Linked DNA regions of Arabidopsis thaliana. The protein of the gene in region 1 purifies or fractionates together with the protein of each later gene. This does not show direct contact. Each region holds a gene or a part of one and is shown on either strand. Other genes may lie near its edges.

The links. Proteins that work in one complex are often made in the same cells at the same time.
Region 2: the proteins of AT5G25754 (region 1) and AT4G19006 fractionate together in Arabidopsis thaliana (co-fractionation; one large-scale study listed by BioGRID). This does not show direct contact.
Region 3: the proteins of AT5G25754 (region 1) and AT2G32730 fractionate together in Arabidopsis thaliana (co-fractionation; one large-scale study listed by BioGRID). This does not show direct contact.

Annotation. Positions count from the first base shown.
Region 1 is NC_003076.8:8,950,024-8,958,792, reverse strand, and holds AT5G25754 (RNA polymerase I-associated factor PAF67), read right to left. Parts: upstream 5,419-8,769; 5' UTR 5,230-5,418; coding exon 4,876-5,229; intron 4,745-4,875; coding exon 3,765-4,744; intron 3,674-3,764; coding exon 3,580-3,673; intron 3,488-3,579; coding exon 3,416-3,487; intron 3,327-3,415; coding exon 3,282-3,326; 3' UTR 1,454-3,281; downstream 1-1,453. Other genes in the region: AT5G25750 (uncharacterized protein), read right to left, coding at 7,650-7,798, 7,843-7,909; AT5G25640 (Rhomboid-related intramembrane serine protease family protein), read left to right, coding at 7,670-7,871, 7,950-8,074, 8,180-8,265, 8,354-8,394, 8,487-8,653, 8,736-8,769.
Region 2 is NC_003075.7:10,408,636-10,413,314, forward strand, and holds AT4G19006 (Proteasome component (PCI) domain protein), read right to left. Parts: upstream 2,833-4,679; 5' UTR 2,713-2,832; coding exon 2,563-2,712; intron 2,260-2,562; coding exon 1,813-2,259; intron 1,619-1,812; coding exon 1,538-1,618; intron 1,445-1,537; coding exon 1,248-1,444; intron 1,159-1,247; coding exon 714-1,158; 3' UTR 513-713; downstream 1-512. Other genes in the region: AT4G19010 (AMP-dependent synthetase and ligase family protein), read right to left, coding at 3,080-3,205, 3,294-3,396, 3,528-3,595, 3,673-3,818, 4,102-4,291, 4,519-4,679. UniProt on the Arabidopsis thaliana protein: Acts as a regulatory subunit of the 26S proteasome which is involved in the ATP-dependent degradation of ubiquitinated proteins.
Region 3 is NC_003071.7:13,878,393-13,885,970, reverse strand, and holds AT2G32730 (26S proteasome regulatory complex, non-ATPase subcomplex, Rpn2/Psmd1 subunit), read right to left. Parts: upstream 6,013-7,578; 5' UTR 5,783-6,012; coding exon 5,637-5,782; intron 5,129-5,636; coding exon 5,059-5,128; intron 4,831-5,058; coding exon 4,725-4,830; intron 4,417-4,724; coding exon 4,308-4,416; intron 4,232-4,307; coding exon 4,063-4,231; intron 3,731-4,062; coding exon 3,270-3,730; intron 3,161-3,269; coding exon 3,025-3,160; intron 2,919-3,024; coding exon 2,670-2,918; intron 2,585-2,669; coding exon 2,364-2,584; intron 2,273-2,363; coding exon 2,014-2,272; intron 1,895-2,013; coding exon 1,662-1,894; intron 1,584-1,661; coding exon 1,064-1,583; intron 843-1,063; coding exon 507-842; 3' UTR 235-506; downstream 1-234. UniProt on the Arabidopsis thaliana protein: Acts as a regulatory subunit of the 26 proteasome which is involved in the ATP-dependent degradation of ubiquitinated proteins.

The DNA.
Region 1 (8,769 bases):
TCCACATCCAGTTTCACGAACCCGGAAAATCTGCATCCCAAAACAAAATATCGGTGCATTCATGCATACATCCATACATGCATTCATGCATACATCCATACATGCATTCATGCATACATCCATACATGCATTCATGCATACATCCATACATCCATACATGCATTCATGCATACATCCATACATGCATACATTTTATACATTCATACATGCATACACATGCATATATATTTGCTTTCTTGATTTATTGATTAGGTCATTGCTTGCTACTTTAGTACATTTGTTAATAACTTGTTCTTGTTTGTTTCTTGTGCTTATCTCAGTTTGTAACGTGCTTGCTTGTTTCTTGCACTGATTGCTTACATGTTTAACTTGTTCACTTTATTCCTTCTTTGTTTCATTGATTATTTGATCGTTGCTTGACTTGTTTGTTTGTTTCCTTCTTGGTTCCTTGATTTACTTTACTTCATTGGGCAGCCTTCTTCTTGGATACTCGCTTACTTAGTTGTTTCAATCAATTTCTTTACACACTCGTTTGCTTGTTTCCTGATCCTCTGGTTTTTCTTTTTCTTTTTTACTTTCGTCGTCACTATTTCTTACATGAACTTCTCTACTTGTTTCGTTGTTTGCTTACGATTTTCATTTGGTTACTCGCTTTCTTTTGCTTTCTTTACTCCTTCCATAGTTCCATTGCTTGCTTAGACGTAATTGTTTAAGAAAAAATCTCCACAACATCCTCTTTGTTCTTGCAAACTCCATTACTTAATTCCGTTTATGCGTATCTTTTAAAATATCTACAACTCTTTAGCGAAATTTTATAATCCACACTATACAATTTAATTCGTTTTATATATGACATGTTTAGCAAAAAAAAATACCAATTGCTTTAATTTGTTTTTTATCCCCTTTTCCATTGGTTGATTATTATCTTTACAAAAAAAGATAAAATAATGTTTTGCTCTCACATGTTCACATGTGGATCGAAATATTAGTAAAAAAAAACTAATATGATAAGTATTATTTGACACATCTCATGATCTAAATTAAATTCCATTCCTTTTCATTTCCTTAATTCCACAATATGCAATTATATTTTTGTTTTTTCCCCCTTAATTGCTCTTGTTCTTTCAATTTTTTTTACATATTTTGCTCTAATATGTTCTAATAGCATTTCTGATTTTTTTCCTTCTTTAGAAAACTTTGACATATATAAATAATTAAACAATTATGAAATTGTCAAGCATCTCGAATAAAAATGGGGTAAAAAAACCTTTTCTAAAAGGGAAAAAACCCAAAAAAAATTTTAACTAATTTTTATTTGGACGTTTAATTCCCAATTTTGGGTTGGGAAAAAATAAAGTAATAAAAATGTGCAATTTAATACCCAAATAATTAAATGTTGTTATTTTCGATCCCACAACAAAAATAAAATTCCAATTTTACTTTACCATCTCAATTGATTATTAATCTTTAGATTATATGACATTAGTTTTATAATTTTGGATAAAAATAATTTTATTAACATATTTGTTTATGGTGTCTAGAAATTTAAAATTTTATTTTTATTATAATTATTCTATTTTAAAATTTAACATAAAAATTAATGAAAATCAAAAATATTTTAAATTGGCCGGTAAACAATTTGCGTTCGAATTTAAATCTTTCACGAATCAAACTATTTTTGACAAAATCTCAATCCGAATCTTATCGTCTTTTTCAATATTGACGGTTACTTTTTCACATTTCAAAATCTCAATATTAACGGTCCTTATAGACTTTTACCAAATCCACCATGTCCAATTTCATTGGTTGAGTCTAGAATATTTGAATCTCTTCTGGATTAGTTGCGCTTATTGCTTGTTTCTTTCTGATCAACTCGAACATGAATCATGACATTCCCGCACTCAAAAAGTGTTCGATGGAATGTCGGATCTACTAATTGCAGTGATACTCGTCTATATCCCAAGGCAATTGCCATTTAGAGCGTGTATTGGCTTTAACAAGTTGATTTGATATTGCCTGCTTAGTTAGAGATCGCTAATGGTGATTAGGTCAGTGTCTAGCTTTACTTGAGGATTTCTATCACGGTAGTGAATTAATCTGTTACTGAACTTGTTGTAGGGATAACTTATGTGAAGTTTTATCAACCATCTTAATAGATTAAGGAGATCACGCTATTCGATTACTTCATCCTTAGGAATCTTTTATCCATTTGATTGTCTGTTATCTCATCTGCTTTGTTATTCATCTACTTGCTATTGCCATTTCACATTTTAGTTTCATTTCATTTATGTTAATCGACATTAAGATTATTAGAAACTGACAACTCTCTGCTTGGCTTGACTTAGTAAATTCTGATTATATCTCATCTGTTTGCATCACACCAGATTGGATTGACAACCTTAAGTATTACAACGATATGATAGTGTTTTAGGAATTGATACCCTAAAAACCTATTATCACCAAGCTCGAAGACATCCCCGGGAGACACAAGCGTACGGTTGCTTTGTTGCCGCAACGTTTCAAAAGAAAACAACGTATTCGTATGACTTGAAGGTGAAGCAATCCAGCAGGGGAACCATGTGATAAGAGAGCACATGTGCGGGAGAAATATGCACGTGTGACGAGATGCTAGAAGAAAAAGAATAATATCTGCAATAGATGCAAGTGGGGATTGCTGCTTATATAGATGATCTCATTGTTTAGAGATTCTTTATGCTGATTGATGTAGAAGCTTCTGCGTGAGAATGGTAGATGATGAGCTAACCAAGATGATATGTTAGGCGTCTCCTTTGGTTTGTACATTGATCGGCGATAAGTTAATCAGAGTTTGGTGGCTTGATACTTATCACCATGTATACGTCGAATAGTTTTGGAAGATGATGAAAAAGATTAACTCCTGTGTATTCTGTAATCAGCAAGAACGAAGAACAGACCTGTAGTTACTATGATACATAAAAGTCAAATAGCAATTTATTCTACTTTGACTTTAAAACCATTCTGTTGGCAAGTAGTGGTGACTTAAAATTTTCATAACCTTGAATACTTTCAATGTTTTTGAACTAGCAATTCGAAAGAAACTCGAGATTGGTTATAATCTTCAGTGCCATACTCAATAAAAAAAACTAGCAATAATCCATAAGAAAGATGATTTATGGTTATCATTTGACCACATGAAGACAGCTACTCAAAAAAGTGTTTGGCTTTAAGTAAACATATGGTTTATAAGAGAAAGCATCATATCAGATTGGGCATTGATGATTAGGTATAACACAGAAAAGTCGTCATTCCAGCTTGACACGATCCATGTCGTTGATCACACCTTCAAGCTGCGCAATGGAGGAAAAAAAGAAAAAGACCCAAAAATCAAAACAAGAGTTGATGTGCACGAGTCTTAGTTTCAGTTTATACAACATACCTTGGCAATCTGCCGCAAGAAGAAATCACCATAACGTTTTGCGGGTTTTGATTCGACAACGTAGATCATGTCCTGCAGTGTCACCAGGTTTAGAGTTGTTACAAACGTTGTAAAAGCACCAGAGTATCGATATCAGAAAGACAGAGAGAGAAGAAAGAACATACGTTGTTGATGAAGAAATCAATGTCTGCATTGGAGATGATCCTACCATCGGAATCAACTGAATGGGTCTTGTGCTTGTATGTTAACAATATGGTCCTGCAAATTAAAACCCCGTACATGTCAAAGAAAAAGAGAGAAGTAGATTTGGTAATAATAGTTATAAGAATGCCCATAGTTAGTCCCTGACCTTAGAGTGGGCTCATCAACTTCCATGTAGTTTGCGAGCTTAGCAAGAGAAATGGAGGAGTAGACTTTCAGGAAAGTCCGCACTCCCGACAAGAGCTGCTGCTGCTTTACCTCGTAAAGGAACATCTTCAGCTGAAGCCTGTATGCATCCTGATTGTAATTGACAAGAGGTTCCTCGAAAGTTGGTGGTGCGGAAGGGGTGATAAACTTGGGGCATGCGTAAGAGAAGAGCTCATCATAAATACCAAAGGCCTCGTCGTCAGACCTCAGCATCCTCATCATCTTTTCACCATACTTGTCTCGCAGCTGAGAGTTGACAGACTCGTCAACGAGTTTAGTTTGAGGGCAGAGGGAGAGGGAGAGAGCAAGCAAAGCGTACATCTGCTCATTCTTCTTGAGTAATTGCTCGTACTGAGGTGACTTTTGATGGTACTGCTTAGTCTTGAAAATGTAGAGGAGAATCTTGTTGAACTCACGAACAGCATCGACATACCTCCGCAACATAAGGGTGGCAAATCCATAGTGGTAGATAGTAGCGATATGGCAACCAATGACACTGGTGTAAACACCTGGCTGAGTGATGTCAATGGGCTGCAACCATTTGAGAGCAGTGTGGTAGTCACCGAGGAGGCAGTGAACACGCAAGAGACCGACCATGCTGAAGTAACCGAGGACCTTCAAGACGTTGCTGCCACCGCTGAAATCGTAGCCATCAGTCTCAGTGAACTCAAGGCCATCCTTGTCATGCTCAAGGATCTGGATGATACAAGACTTCTCCACAAGTGCTTGCAAGAAGTTGAGCACGCCATAGACATTCCAGGCCTTATCGTGCTGTCTGAGCAATGCAATCTCCTCCTCTGTTTTGTTCTTGAGCTTTGCTCTGAATTGACAGAAACTTTGGAACTGGTAGACAAACTCATCCACCATATCCCACAACCACTGGTTCGGCAACTGCATATTCACTACGCCGTGCAACACAACCTAGAAAGAACAAACGGAAGAAGGTCTACTTACTTGTATTTATTCCCAGCCAATACATACACAAAAGAAATCAAAATCAACAACATCTCTATCTAACAAGGAAGAAGAAGTAGAAGAATTCCACAACAGACCTGAAAGAGGCTGCAATAGTTGTCATAAGAATCAATCCTCTGCTTCAACGTCGGAGACAACCTCGCATACAAATGTCGAAACCACATCTCACGGTACAGAAGACAGAACACATGGTCGTTGTCTACGTAAGGAGCAATCGCTTCCACACTTGGCCACGGCGTGTCCTTGAACAGACGCTCCGATATGCTCTGGAACGATGTCTCACACATCTGGTGGATCTCGTACACGTTCTTGTCCCTTATGTGTCTGTACATGTGTGACACGAACGATTTCACCGAATCCGGCACCATATTCGGGTCGTACCCACTCTCCCTCTCCCCTGGACCTTCCTCGTACTCATTGCTGCTCGCCATTCTCGCCGGATCAATTCTTAGCGGCCGCAACAATGTTAACTCTTCAACTCACTTCCACCGCCTAGGGTTTCCTTATTACCACCGGGTCTATCCTCCGGTTTGCTTTTACTACTAAATGAACGATTACCACCGGTTTGTTTATATCTCGATTTATTTTTCGGTTGTTTATCTATTTTACCGAATTAGACCAAAACTGAATCGAAATTAATTTTGTGTACTCTGACTCTCTCTCAAATCTCAATGTCTCAGCTTCTTCACCTTCACCGTCTCTCTCTTCCACAATCATCTCTTCGTTTCAGATTCCCGCCTTTACATCGCCGACGTGCAGCTTCGTCGCCAACTAACTCAACTCAACCCCCCCTGCAGTTTCGTCCTCTCACAGTCTCTAGATCTCAAATAACTTGCAGATTCAGCCAATCCGGTGAGACTTATCGTTTTTTCTTTCTTTTTTTCGATCTAATGAAACATTCCAAGTGATTGTATTAGATTCTTAGCAACATCTTCTTCATCTTCAACGAAATCATTGTAAGTTTTGCAGATATTACGCCACAATTTGAATTGGATAAAGCAAAAGACAATCGAAAACCACAAAAGCGAGCAAATGGCATATTTTGGATCATACTTATCAATCTGGGCATATATCTTGCTGATCACTTCTTTCAGGTATGAAAGCTTGTCTTTAGATATCAATCATCTACACTGTAAAACGTTATTCGTGTAATCCCATCTCTTTGGATTGTGACGTGCTTATCTTATCATACGTTTTATATTGTTTATTCGATTTAGGTTCGTGGGATCAAATCTTTGTATTTGTATCACAATTTTCCGGCATGGTATCAGTTTGTGACGGCTACATTCTGTCATGCTAACTGGTGAGAGAGCTCTCTTCTTTCTTTTTTACTTTGGCACTGTTCGTTTCATAATCGCTAGCGGCTGTGGCTGTGGCTGCGATTGCGATTGCGATTTTAAAATCGCAGGATGTTGTTCGTTTACCAATCGCTGCGATTAATCGCCATTTAAAAAGCCGCGTCGCTCTTTTTTCATGCGATCAAAAAATTCAGTCGCAAGCCGCAGCGATTGATCGCGCGATTAGTTGCAGGATCTTGCGACTGTCAAACGATCAACTTTCAGTCGCAGTCGCAGGCATCCTGTGACTACCAAACGAACAACACTTATGATAGTTTTTTTCTCTGTGGCTTATGTTGATGTTTCTCCTGATTCTTGGTTTTTTTTTTATGTATCATGTATGATTCTAGGAACCATCTCTCCAGCAATCTTTTTTTCTTGTACATATTTGGTGAGAGTTCAAGATTTTCTCATAGTTTGAATTTCTAGCTAGTTTATCGATTCAGAGAGCTAATGGACACATTTGGGAATCAGGAAAGCTTGTTGAAGAAGAAGAAGGAAACTTTGGTTTGTGGCTCTCCTACTTGTTCACTGGTGTTGGAGCTAACCTTGTTTCTTGGTTAGTTTTACCGAGAAATGCTGTTTCTGTTGGTGCCTCGGGAGCTGTTTTTGGGTTATTTGCTATCAGTGTCCTCGTCAAGGTACTGTAGTTTTCTTCTCTCCTTGTAAATCAAACTCCTCAGTAATATCTTGCTAATATTCAACTTCTTTTGATTGTCTAGATGTCTTGGGATTGGAGGAAAATCCTTGAAGTTCTTATATTGGGTCAGTTCGTTATTGAGAGGGTAAGATTTTCTCAAAATTTACTCACAGCATCACTACCGTTATAACCGTATTCCGGCTTACAGTCCCATCTTCTTATGAGTATAATGAGGTTTTTATACAATATATGAGAGAAAATGTCTGATGATGTATGCAATATAGAAGCTCTTCGAATTCAGGGACGATAACTGTTTAGTTAATTGATCTGAATAGGTAATGGAAGCAGCTCAGGCGTCGGCTGGATTATCAGGAACTATATATGGTGGATACTCTTTACAAACTGTTAATCACATTGCGCATCTCTCTGGTGCTCTTGTTGGGGTTGTTTTAGTTTGGCTTCTCAGCAAATTTCCTTCGGCATCTATGGATCAAGACGTTAAAAAGTCCTCGTAAAAATGACGAGACAAAACTTTTCGTGTAAGGAACATACTAGCTGTCCAGTGAATGCAAGGTAGATGAAACGATTGATAGATTGACAAAATATCCTTGTAAAAAAACTGAAGAACGGTCTCTAAACCGAGCCTTTGTGAGTAGTCTTTGCTATAGAATTCTGTCGCTAGTTTGTCTATGTTACTCTCATTGGTTTACCAATGCCACTAAGCATACGCAGAAGTAAGTGGATGTAGTTGTTGAGCTTACTTTTTGATTTCTATAATCTGTTAGATCTTACTTTTAATTAATAAAATCATTGTCTTAAAGCATACAACAACTTCAGTCAACGCATATTTTTGAAGAAGCAAGTCCAAGTCTGATCAAAGATTTGAGTTCTCAAATGTCTCAGCTTCACCTTCACCTTCAGCTTCACCGTCACTATCTCTCCCTCCCACATTCTTCTTCTCTTCGTTCCAGATTACCGTCATTACATCGCCGCAGTGTAGCTTCTTCGCCAACCAACTCTCCCCTCTATCTCAACTCAACTAACTCCACCGTCTTTCGTCCTCTCACCTTCGTCAGATCTCGTTCCAGCGAATCCGGTGAGATTTTTTAACCTCGAATTCGATTTTTCCATCATGTTTCCTTTACACTTGTAAAAGTCCAAGAAAATTTTCCAGACGTCACACCACAATTTGAATTGGATAAAGCACAAGACAAACAGAAACCACTAAACCAAGCAAATGGAATATTCTTGATCATACTTATCAATCTTGCCATATTTATAGCTCAACACTTCTATCAGGTACTTGTAGGATTTTTTTTCTTTTTTTAGTGTGAAGCATTGGTTTGTTAGGTGTTTTTCACATTGGTATCATACGTTTAGAAAAAAGTTATTTATTCGATATAGGTTCGCGGGATCAAATCGATGTATTTGTCTAGCGATTTTCCGGTATGGTACCAGTTTGTGACTGCAACATTCTGTCATGCTAACTGGTGAGAGCTCTCTGCTTACTTTTTGCTAAGTTCTTTCTCTGGCTGATGTTAACGTTTTTCTCTGGCTTATATATATCTATGATTCTAGGAACCATCTGTCCAGCAATCTTTTTCTCTTGTACATCTTTGGTGAGAGTTCAAGATTTTCTCATAGTTTTGACTCTATCTAGTTTATCGATTCGGAGTTAATAAGACAATGGGAATGGTTCTGTGGTTAACAGGAAAGATTGTTGAAGAAGAGAAAGGAAACTTTGGTTTGTGGTTGTCTTACTTGTTTACTGGTGTTGGAGCTAACATGGTTTCTTGGTTCACTTTACCGCCAAATTCATTTTTTTCTGGAGCCTCGGGAGCTGTTTTCGGGTTATTTGTGATCAGTGTCCTTGTCAAGGTAGTACTCTAGTTCTCTTCTCTCCTTGTTTCAAGTGCTTGTAAATCTATCATCAGGACTTCTTTTAAAACTGTTTTGTTAGATGTCTCGGGGTTGGAGCAAATTTCTTGAAGTTC
Region 2 (4,679 bases), on another chromosome or scaffold:
TGCAAATATGCTAATTCGAATTAACGCAAAGAGATTCCCAAAATAGCTCTAACCGATTCAATTTTCGATTTTGAAGCATTATTGAGAAATCGAATCACCAAAACCCCAACATTAGAAATCTAAAACCCAGAAACAACAATCAAAATCTATTGTTCCCAGAGAAGAAAGCTATGTTTTTGTAGAAGAAATCAGATCTGGATTATGTCAATCCAACAGCATCTACCGATGATCCCTAAAATCTATTCCCCAGAAGACAAAACATTTAGAGAGCGAGCAGCTTACGAAGCAGACAGATGAGCTGGAGTCTTTGAGACTTGACTGCTCTGTTTCAAAATCTCAAAATCGGAAAATTTTGATTGAAACGAAACGATGGTGATAATTGGGGTTTAATATGTTTTGACTATTTTACCCTTACACTTTTCATTTCAGAAGTTGACAATTTGGATTCATTCCACTATTTGAGATTTATGAGTTTTTCACACGTCTAATAACAAAAGTTGGACCATTTGTTATGCAAATAGGCTTAAGCCTTAAAGGCAACACTAACGATGAAACTCAACTTAATAGGATAGATTCATGTGTCTGTGGAGAACAAAGTTCAAAAGTATAACTGTAATACCTAAAAACTTAAAAGGAAGTTGCATTTAATCCTCAGAGAATGTTACAATCTGTAGCTTAAACGAACAGTGAAGGAAAAAAGAGGAAAGAAGAGTTTAAGCTGCAACAAGATCAGGTGTCTCGGCCTCAACAGATAACAATGTGGTGTGAACCTTATCGACCCAGCTGTCTAGCTGATCCCTCAATGACTTGATCTGCGGTATTCCTAACACCCTCGGTTGCGCCCATGAGACGTAAACTGTTCCATTCACCTGATCTAGTATTCCCTCTATCAAGTGCACCTGCAATAACTCATTCTCCTCAGTTTTCACAATCAACCAATACAGAATCACACATTCAAGAAGATTTCGAGTCTGCGTCTTGCCAATCTTCTTTAGATTTTTAATGTTACTGATAGAATGAGATAGAGAGAAAGAGAGAGGAAAGAAAAAGGTACTCACCGATAAGCTCTTCATGAGAAGGTGCTCAACATCTTCGATTGAAAGTTTAGTACGCTCGGCAATGACACTCAAAGGTATGGTCCTATCTTCAGCAGGTCGGCTGTGGCAAAGATGTTATATACAAGTTAAGTACTAAGTTTGTTTTCATCTGTATATGGGTATAAGATGACTCCTACAGAGAATGAATACCTGAAAATGATCTCAATAAGGCAGAGAATGTTGATCTTCTCTAATAGTTTCTTCTCATTCTCAACCAGTGCTGGTTGAGCACTCAACGATGCATTGTGCACACGACAGAGTTCTTGGTACTGAACTAAATCTCCGTGGTTGAATGCTTGTAGAATGTGGTAAAGCCATTCCACATTTGTTCCAAGCAGACTTTTCAACTGCCATAACATATATAACATGTCAGTGTTCTTTTATCTATAATGGTGAATAAATCTGTGGTTTGCTAATTTGGAGGATGAAGGGAAACTTACAATTGGATGGGCTAACAGTTCCCCAAAGTTATAGATATTCTCCCCAAGTAGAGCTGAAAGCGACAAATCAAAAGCCAAATCCTGAAAGAAACGAAAGTATATGATATTAACATTTTGATTGGAACACAAAGCAATTTACAGAGATAAAGCATTTTTCACTGTAAGTTTCCTTTCATAGAGTGCTAATACTTATCCAAAATTGCTAAAAGACCATTTGGTAACGTAACGACTACATATATCATATATGAATGATTAGAACATTCAGAGGGACGTACCAGCTTAAATGATTCCGAGAGTGAGTCCACAGACGTATAAGCGAGGTAAAGAAGAGCATTTTTATAGAACTCAGAGAACTCTTGACGGACTTTATGGTACTGAGAAGAGACCCAAAAGAAGTTGGCATAAACTGATGGATCAATGTCAGTCATACTATCAAGCAGGCTTTTTCCATCGTCCAAGATTTTCTTGCACTCCTTCTGGTCACCTTGCTCAAGCTTGAACAAAGCTATTTGTGTTTCTATATAGCTAATTGGTTCATTTATCCTTGACTCTTTAGTAGCTTTAAGCTTCTCAATCACTCCTTCAAGATAACTAACTGCAGCTTCTTTCTCAGGATACTGTCGGGAGACTACAACAGCGAAATGCGCAAGCTTCAGAAGATTGATCCTCGTCTCAAAGTCAGTGATGAAATTGTTGTAAAGCTGTATTAAAGCATCTCCAGCCTGCAAAGATTATGAACATAAACAGGGGGAAACACGTCATTAACAAATCTGTAAACCTTGTAAAGCTGAGTTTTTGGGTATCTCTGAGCTAAAATATTCGAAAGCTTTGGTCACAGAAGTGCGATAATTCACCAATACAAAGCTTTTCAATGAATCTGAAAAATCACCTAAGAGTCGGAACGAATCCTTCAGATCTCTCTATAAACCCAAGTCTAACATGACGACTCCTATTAACTTTCTCGAGATCTATGAACCCTAATCACACAGAAGAACTACGAAACGATGAAAATTCAAGAGATTGACCTGAAAGACAGAGAGAGCGATGAACTGCTCGAGCTTAAGAGTGAGCTGATGCCAGAGCTTCTTCTGGTACAGATCTGCGAGCGAATTGTACCACTCACCAAGCTCTGGGTGCGCATTTTTCTGCGATTCAAGGTATTGTAGAGCAGCCATGGTAGATTTTCGAAGAAACAGAAGGCAAAGCTTCGATCTTGTATCGGTTTGGGAGTAAGAAATCCAGAAAAACCCAGCCTTTTAGTAAACTATATTTCTTGAGCTCAAAGACAAGTATTGGGCGATAAATGCAATAGCCAACGATTAAAAGGACTTTTATGTAAATAAAATACTAAGGCTAAAATTACATTTTGGGCTCAGAAAGAATTTTTGTTTCCGTATTGGGTTACAATGCTTTATTCACTGAGAATCAAAGAATGTGTCTGTTTATTTCTTTTGATGCTACAAAACCAATGAATTGAGTTATGAAGGCTATATTAGTGGATCTCTCTGTCTGCTACTTATTACCAAACAAATGAAGAAAGAATCATAGTCTTGAAGAAACAGAGTTTGTAAGAATTCTCTTTAGTTCCTTTCTCAATATCTTCCCAGTTGGAGATTTTGGTATAGAGTTGACCATCACCACTTTCCTCACCTTCCTGTAGGGTGCAACCTAGAACACGTAATGTATAATAATGTATTACATTAATGATCAGTGTTTTGAAATGGGAAAAGCCATTTTGAATTAGTGGGAACCTAACCTGAGAAGCTACATAGCTTATTACATCTTCTTCTGAAAGTGTTGTTTCTTGTCTCCGGACAACGAATGCTACCGGAATCTCTCCACATTCTTCATTTGGGGCACTGAAATGGAAAGTTTGGATACTTTCAGTAGAGTAACAGACTCTGTCGAATTCTCCAAAACTGGATTTGCAGTATCTTTCACTTATTAAACTAGTTTAGTAAATGATCAAGATTTGTTTTTTCGAACTTACGCTGTTACTGCAGCGTCGATAATCAAGGGATGTGAAACAAGAACAGCCTCCAAATCTGCTGGAGCGATCTGCAAAAACCATAAATGCAAAGAATTAATATTTCCTAATTTAGAGTTGGCTGAAAGAGAAACTGCTGTTCCTTTACCTGAAAGCCTTTGTACTTTATAATCTCCTTAATACGGTCAACAATAAACAAGTAACCATCTTCATCAAAATAAGCAATATCCCCAGTACGTAGCCAACTATCTTCAACTATACTCATCTGAGTTGCTTTTGGGTTATTCAAGTATCCTGACAGACAAATGAACGGTGTTCAGATTCTCTCCAAGTAAAATTAAAACTGTTCCATAAAAATATGTAGCACAAAATCAAGAACAAGATAATAAGCCTAATCTATCAACACAAGCACCAAATAAGCCCCACGAAAGTTGGAAGATCCAATCTATATTTACATTTATTAGGATGCAAGTGTTTCTCAGTGATTTGAACCATTGACAAAAGACTTTATTCATGAACTGAGAAGGAAAATCTCAACTATTTTGGTAAAGAAGTACAGTAGGAAGAATCTATCTACCTTTCATGACACCGGGACCTTGTATCCAGAGCTCTCCTCGGTTTCCTGGTGGAAGGAAAGAACCAGAGCTCCAATCTACTACCTTGGCTTGCATATTAGGAGCCAGTAGTCCCACAGAAGAATACCTACTAAGCTTTTCCGAGTTGAAGCCCCGTGTTCCAACTGCAGTTGATTCAGTCATTCCATATCCCTGCAACAAAATGTGATCCATTTTATACACACTTTCAGCTAAATGTAAAGAAAATAATAGTGTGAGTCAAAAAGTCATGGCCTCGTTAAATCAATTTTAGTTGTTTCTTTTGGGAAGAGATGTCAAATTTTTCTAAAAAATGTAGATTCTACTTCTTATTGAGTTTATGAATGAATAACATTTAATTCAGTTTTCTAAAACGACATCCAAAAGTAAAATTCAGAGACCTGAATCAAATCGACATGAGGAAGAGTCTGAAGGAAATCTTCAATGAACTTCCTACTCAAAGGAGCTGCTCCAGAAGAAACTTGCTTCAAACTTTTAAACACTTCACCACAAACTCCTTTTGCCTTCTTTGTCAATGCCATCAACATAGGTGGAACAACCG
Region 3 (7,578 bases), on another chromosome or scaffold:
ATTTATTTCACAAAGTGACTGCAAAAATGTATATATAAATGGTTAGTGCTATTACATAATGAAACACGTAAGACTTGTAAAACCTCAAATGTTTTAAAAGACCCTATACACTTTTGACAAAGAAAATAGGAAAAACAAAGACCCTAGAGACTTTTCAATTATGACTATAGAAGTTAACAAACCTAAGCAAAGTGTTTGGATATAAACATAGAGGTTAAAAAGGATTTAGATAATACTTAGAAAATGTAGTTTATTACTATCTTGTTGTAGAAGAAATCAGATATACCAGTACCACTAAAAGACATAAAACGACACTTAATTATTTAGATAATACTTAAAAAGAGAAGTACCTAATACAAGATCGTAGTTGAACATGAAACCAGTTGCAAATGACAAGAAGCAGTTATCTCAAAGTTCAAAGATCTGTTTTTCTCTCTGCCTTTTGTCTTTCAACAGAAACCAATAAAACCAACAACAAATTCCCACTAATTTTAAATGAAATAAAATCATGAAGCGTATTCAAAGGCTTGTGGAGGTTGTGGCTCATCATCTACGGCCATAGCTGAGGCCGGGGTTCCTTGTGCAGCCGCTGCTGTACCAGTTGCAGGAGAAGCTGTTGAAGTTGGTGCGTCGGTCAGAGAGAGAACCTCTGGCTCGTGTTCACGCAAGTCTTTGAGAAGAACGAAACCTGACGGTGCTAGCTTCACTGGTACATATCTGCTGTCATCAAGTAACTTTATGTATTTCTCTTGAGCTGGGACTACTCGAGCTGGGTTCACTAAAATCTCAAACGCTGGCTCAGGCTCAGGTGCTTTCTTCTCGACCGCTGCTGGGCTATCGACCTGACAGTTCGTGGAGACAAGACTATCAAATCACAGATGGTCCAAACACACAATAAACACCCAGATTAAACATTCCTTTAGAATTCACCAACTTTGAAATTCAAAATGTCTAACGTGTGTGATTGTAAAACAGAATAAACCTTAGAATTCTAGCGATTAAAGGACTAATCAGGTAATCAATAACAGAAGCTATTAGAAGAGGCTAGAAATGACAACATTACCTGCATAGAGTCTCCTTCCTTCTCAGTTGATGCTTTTCCTTTTCCAGATCCACTTTCATTGACAGGCTTTTCAGGGCCAGATGTTTTCTCAGCAATAGCTTTTTGCTCTGCTTCTTTCTTAGCCCTAGCTTTGGCTTTAACTGAAGTTGAGAGAACAGCGGTTGGAAGTTTAACGGCGGTATTGGCTGTAGGAACCGTGGTGGGTTTTGGGTACTCAAATAAAGACGGTTTTGCATGTGACATGAACTCAAACTTTGGGACCTTAAGGTCATAGTTCAAACCGATGAAAGCGGTTGGTGAGAAGGCCAAACTAATGAAATAGATCAGTGGGTACCAATACCAAAACTGGCTGAAGACTGCAAGGCCGATAACAGCAGTGACTTTGTCATGTTTGGTCTTAGAGAGCAGTCTTATAGTAACGTTCCTACCACCAGCATCAAGGATACCAGAGGCCAGAATCGCTCCCATCTTGCTCATTGTATCTTCGTGCTTGTCAAGTATAATCTTCTCAAGTTGGCGCCTACAAAACATAGAAAAATCTCAGTCTACCAAGATATTCTCTACCTCCCAATGCTGAAGAAACCAGATTTATACTAACCTAAATACTCCAACACGAGAATCGCTAGCTTCGCTAATTTGAACCATCACCATGGCCATTGCAATCAAAGCACCTTGACGAACAAAGTCAACAACATCTGATGTAAGTGGCTCCAACAAGGATATCGCTTCGCTGAGGCCAGTGCCTGCACAAGAAATACCCACTGCAAGAGCCGCACCATAGCGAACATGTGGATTGTATGACTCAGAAAGCAGTGATACAATACGGGGAGTCTACAATTTAGAAAAAAAAACATTGTAAACCGTTAGGGAATGTAAGCGCTCACAAAAGTACTGGAAGCGCTAAAGAAATGGAAGTCAGTGGTCACAGAAAAGGAGCATCAGAAACTGACCTGCTCTGGATCAGAGTACAAGACAAATCCAAGTGCCAGAACGGCAGTCCTCCTAACATCATCACTGACATCAGATACAGCAAAGTGCAGCAATTGTCGAATTGCCTTGTTGTTTGCGGTTCCACTGTAAGCCAATGCCAATGCGTACATGCCACCATAACGAATGATTGGATCCTGATCTCTCGTCATCTGCTCAATCAAGGTATCTGCTCCTTCTTCTCTACCATATACTGTAAGAGCTATTCCTAGAGCCAATCCCCTAAAAACGCATTCCGGATGTTGATTAGTGAAATACTAAAGCAAGACAAAATGCACCCCTCTTAACCAAAAATATCCTTACTGTACATTACCTTATTATCTTCTCATGTTGTGTCTCATGAGCATAAGCGAGCATCTCACTTGCCTTTTCAGTAGCAGTTCCAACCAATAATAAACCCATGCTGATGCCAGCAGCTTCACCAGCAACTGCACTGTCAGTATAAAGCACGCTTTTGACATCATCATATATCTCTTCATCAGCTGTCCCGAGAGCTGACAAGCCAAGACCTAAACAAGCTCCATGTTGAATGACCTGCATCCATATTTTTCCAATAAGTATTAATTAGGCTGCCAGGGAATATGAGAGACTATATTGAAGTAAGATATTAATTAATCACCTCAACATTAGTGCTGCGTAGGCTATCACGTAGAAATTGCTTGATTCCCTCGCCATGGTTAGCATGAATAAGGCCAAGAGCATATAAAGCACCTCCTTCGGAATAAGGACTCCCACCACCACCTGCTCCTCCCTGAGGCAAGTATGGAGCCATCAATGACCTACCCTGTTGCAGGTGACCTCTGTGAATAACACCTAATCCCGCGGTAGCACTGAACTTAGCCCAATTGGTTGCCCTGCTTAGCCAATCCTGGCATTAAAAAAAAAGAATGATGAAAGAAAGTTAAATACACTAAGCCACACAGACAGTTAAACTCAAACATACAGAAATATTTGAGTGAAAGTAAATAATTTACCAAATTCTCTCTAAGGAAAGTGTCCACTGTAGTTCCAGCATGCATAATGGCATTAGCATATATTGTAGCACTGTGGCATACACTGTTCCGCATCTCTACAGACTGTTTGATTGTCTTCAGTATCAGCAGGTCCGATCTACAGAAAGACAAAATTATCAATGGAGCAAATGATTACTTCCTGGAATAAACGATTTTTAGAAGAAAAAATATCCCTTGAAGATATCAAAACTGCAACAGTAACTTACTTGTTGTGGCTGTAAAGAAACTGCAGTGTCAGCTGAATAGATGTCTCTCCAGATAAAATTCCCTTAATCTTTGTTAACCTCTCAGCATATGTAGCATCAACTGGATCCGTCTCATGCACAATTGTCTGAGCTGGAGTTTCATCTGCCATCTGAACATCTCCCGAAGGGTTCTCATTAGGAGCAATAGTTGTTTCAACAGCCTGAGTTGCTTCTACAGCACGTGTTTTGGGAGCTGGAAGGCGATCTCTAACACTCAAGAGAAAGGCCTGGTGCTCGTTCTCTACAAGATCAAATGCAATTTGCAATGCCAATAAAGCATCATCCTTGTTCTCTGAGCGAAGAAGCTTCTCCAATATGCTTGCAACACCTTGCGGTTCATCCAAAAACATGAGGCATTGACAAATGCTCAAATAATCAGGAGAGGGCAGCTTCTGGTAGACTTTTACAAGTAAACTAAGCACCTGAAAGAGTAGACAAGTATGTCATCACCTTTTTTAAATAAAGACTAAACTAAACAGCCTAGACTAAAAGACCTAGAAAAGGGAGATTTTTTTAATTCAGGCCTTGACACATCTCAGATAGGTATCACGAAAACTGAAACAGGACTTTTGGCTACAGCTTAGGACATAGAGGATGCTAGCATACATGTTTGCAGGCATGGTAATGGAAGATGCAACATAGAAACTAAATGGTCACATTATCTTCCAGATGAGGCAAAACTATACAGTTCTAATCAGTCGATAGAATTAGAACACCTTTCTACTTAACTATTGTCTAAGAACATCAGTCTCACCTCATGTCTGTACTCTCTGCGGTTGACAAAGGAATGAGAAACATTGATGCAATATGATAAAGTTCCCTGAACATTATCGCTCTTAATGATAGCTTCTTCCAACTTATCCAATCTCCGGCATTCTATCGCAATGCCCATGGCTTGTTGATACTTCCCATCACTGATGCATCTGCAGAAGGAAAACCATGTAAGAAGAATTGAAGCACTATGAAAACAAGAGCATTAAATGTATAAGCATTGCATACTTTCCAAGCATTCTTTCAACAATCGCCTCTAGCCTGGGATCAATGTCCACCATCTCATTTGACTCAACTGCCTTTGATCTGAGACTGGCATATTCGTCTATTGCTTTGGCTGAAATTTTAAAAGAAGCATCTGATGAGTATACATTCATCCAGCATTTATTAAAACTCAAATAGTCAACTTATCTGTCTTTTTCTAGTATTATACTACTTAAAGGCAGAACAATATCTGGATGTACAAGCTTCAAGTCTACTTTTAAGATAATAAGTCGTGCAGGCTATATAGGCTTTTCTTGCCTTGAGAGTTGAGACAAGTTGATTTGGTAAGCAATTTGCATTAAACAGTTACCCTAGCTAGAGTCTACAGACAGAGAACAGCATGAAGAGAGTAAAAACATCAACAAACTTCTCAATCCTCACCCAGAAGCGTATGAACATAATCAGAATCCTCTGAAACATCAAATAAGGGACCGGCTCCTAGGGCATAAGACAGCGAATCATTAAGCTCGCCCAAGTAATAGAAAACCTGCGATAAAACAACCACGATCATCAAGAAACCCATATCTTGTAAAACAAACATATAACGTGATTAGAAAAAGGCTACGTCCCAAAATTCTACCACTATCCACCAGCTCTTAAGGAGAAAAATAACCATAATGTATTCAGAGCAACAATTAAACATTCCTCCACTAACATATAGCAAATATTATCCGCAACTAGACAAAACTTAAGTTTAACAATCGTGAAATCGCACCTTAGAGACCAGCAAAGCAGCAAGCTGTCTTTGATGCAGATCGAATTCTTCATCTTCATATAAACTCTCACTGTAAAAAAAAAAATTCTCTCGAGTCAAGCTGTCAAGTAGTGCAAATCATTAAAGAGAGATTATCATAAAACCCTAAGCATTGCGCCAGCACAGCCTCTACAACTGGAATCTATACCACTAGAATGTACGATGATAAACCAAAACGAATCCAAGCCTTTACATTACATGAGTAAAAGAACATAATCATGTCCAGGAAGAAGTTAGATACAATTACTCATTCATAATCTATAAAGATCACTACAGAACTTGCTAAAGCTAGTCATGTAAAATAAAAAACTTTACTTTTCTTATCCTACCCATTGAATCTGCATCGCCACAAACTATCAATCCCTCACTCAAAATTTTGAACTTTAATACCCAAATCGAGAAGACCTACACACAACCACAGCTCAAACAATCCAAATCCCACAATCTTCTCTAGAATATCCCGAATAAAAAAACAGATCAAGTGAGAGAACAAAACCCTAAATCTCAAACCGGAAAAAAAGGGTTTAAAAGAGAATTACATGATGGGGACACTAGTGGAGATCTCAGGCCAGAATTGGTCAACCAAATTGTTGAGGTTAGAGAGCGCATGAAGCTTCAAAACAGGATGAGGCTCGTTGAGCATTGCTAGTAATCCTCCAGCGGAACTAACCATGGGTGTCGCCATTGATGGAGAACACTAAATCGAAATCGAAATAAACCCTAAGAGAAAGCTAATCAGATGACGAAAGATTCGAACTTTCGATGAGACTCGTCTTGAATCTCTCTACTGGATTTGAAGAAGAGTGTTTTCCTTATTTATTTTAGTTTATAGGACGAAAGTAAAAATAAAAGGAGATTTGGGAGAAGATAGTAAGTCAGGGACTTGGATGCAAACTACGAATATTTAGAGACTTACCCAACAAGTCAGGATATTAAAAACTGCCCCGAATGTATAGCTTTATTATGATTTTAGTCTCAAGTTTTGTGTTATTGAGTTATGGATCCAATATATTTTGAAGATTTACAAAAACTCCTTATTGCTTTTACAAAATTGGTTGGTCATACAATTTTAAGTTTTAGGAGCTTTTAGGATACCCTAATTGCTAAATTATCATCATATCATATCAATAAAATGTGTTGCAATTCAGAACATAATACAAAGCTTTATAGAGATATGCAAGGCATCATAGAGAAATTAATAAACTTACAGTCGGTTAATCAAATTTTATAAACAAAATTATCATAAATCGATTCAGCTCATTACACGAAATGGTAAGCGTAAACTATGATGATGGTGTGGTCGACCATTAGCTCGATTATGTAACAAAGTCATCTAGTTATTTAGCTTATAAATCATTTCAAGATGTAATTCAAAAACATATGCATTCAATTTTTTTTTTAGTTATCTGTTTATCGTATCAGAAGTTCAATGAAAATAGTGTATGAACAAACAAACACGATTTTAGTTATTTATATTTATTGTTCATTTTAAAATTATATATATATTAGTTTTTTTTAATGTGTAAATTGTATTTAATATTTTCAAAGCAACAATTTTTAGTATTGAAAAAGATTTGGTGGTCCTAAAAGTATAACTTTTTCTTTTAATAACATTATTTGGTACTAAAAAACATAAAGAAAATGATGGTTCTAATCTTTTGGTTAACCTGCTTGTTTTTCTCTAGAGAACATGGCTAATGTATTTTTTTCATTGTCGATGGTTCAAATTTGAAACTTCTCAGACCTCTTTTCGTTTACAAGGTCAGAAATTCACCGGTCAATCTATTGATTTTGAATAATATGTACATTTTATATAAGCTTTAGAAAGAAAAAGATTTGTGTCCCTAATAAATAAGGTCAGTTGGTATGAAGCAGCGGCAATTTATTTTTCTTATGTAGTTGTATCTACTAATATAAAACTACATAAATATTACTTATGAGAAAAGAATTCATATGTACCATAATAAAATTTATTGCACATCATTCACCTACCGATCTTGAATGAAAAAGGCAGAATTAGAGCGCACAACCGCAACATTTGCACTGCCTACCTACCTACCCCATCCACTCAACCGGAAATAACAACTACTACCAAACCACTTAACCCATCGGTTCAACATTGGCACATATGTTTTCAAAATCGTACAGATGAATACCATAAGGCCAAAACAGTAGAGCAGCAATTAGGTACAGACTATGTGAGAACAAACTCAAAATCAATTTTCATTAAACCGGTTTTCAAAGCTTCCAAAACTCACCAACCGATTACTTTGAGAACGAACCAAATTAAACCGGAATTTAACTGATTCGTCAAATGGTCTTTAACTCAACAACTCTCTCTCACACTCTTGTATAAAGTTTTGAGCTTTAAGTCTCAGAGTCAGGTTTTGGTGGGTTAATTCTGGTAGACAAGAATCAAACAAACAATGGGAGACGAAGCAAAGATCTTCACTCTTTCAGAAGTTTCAGAGCATAATCAAG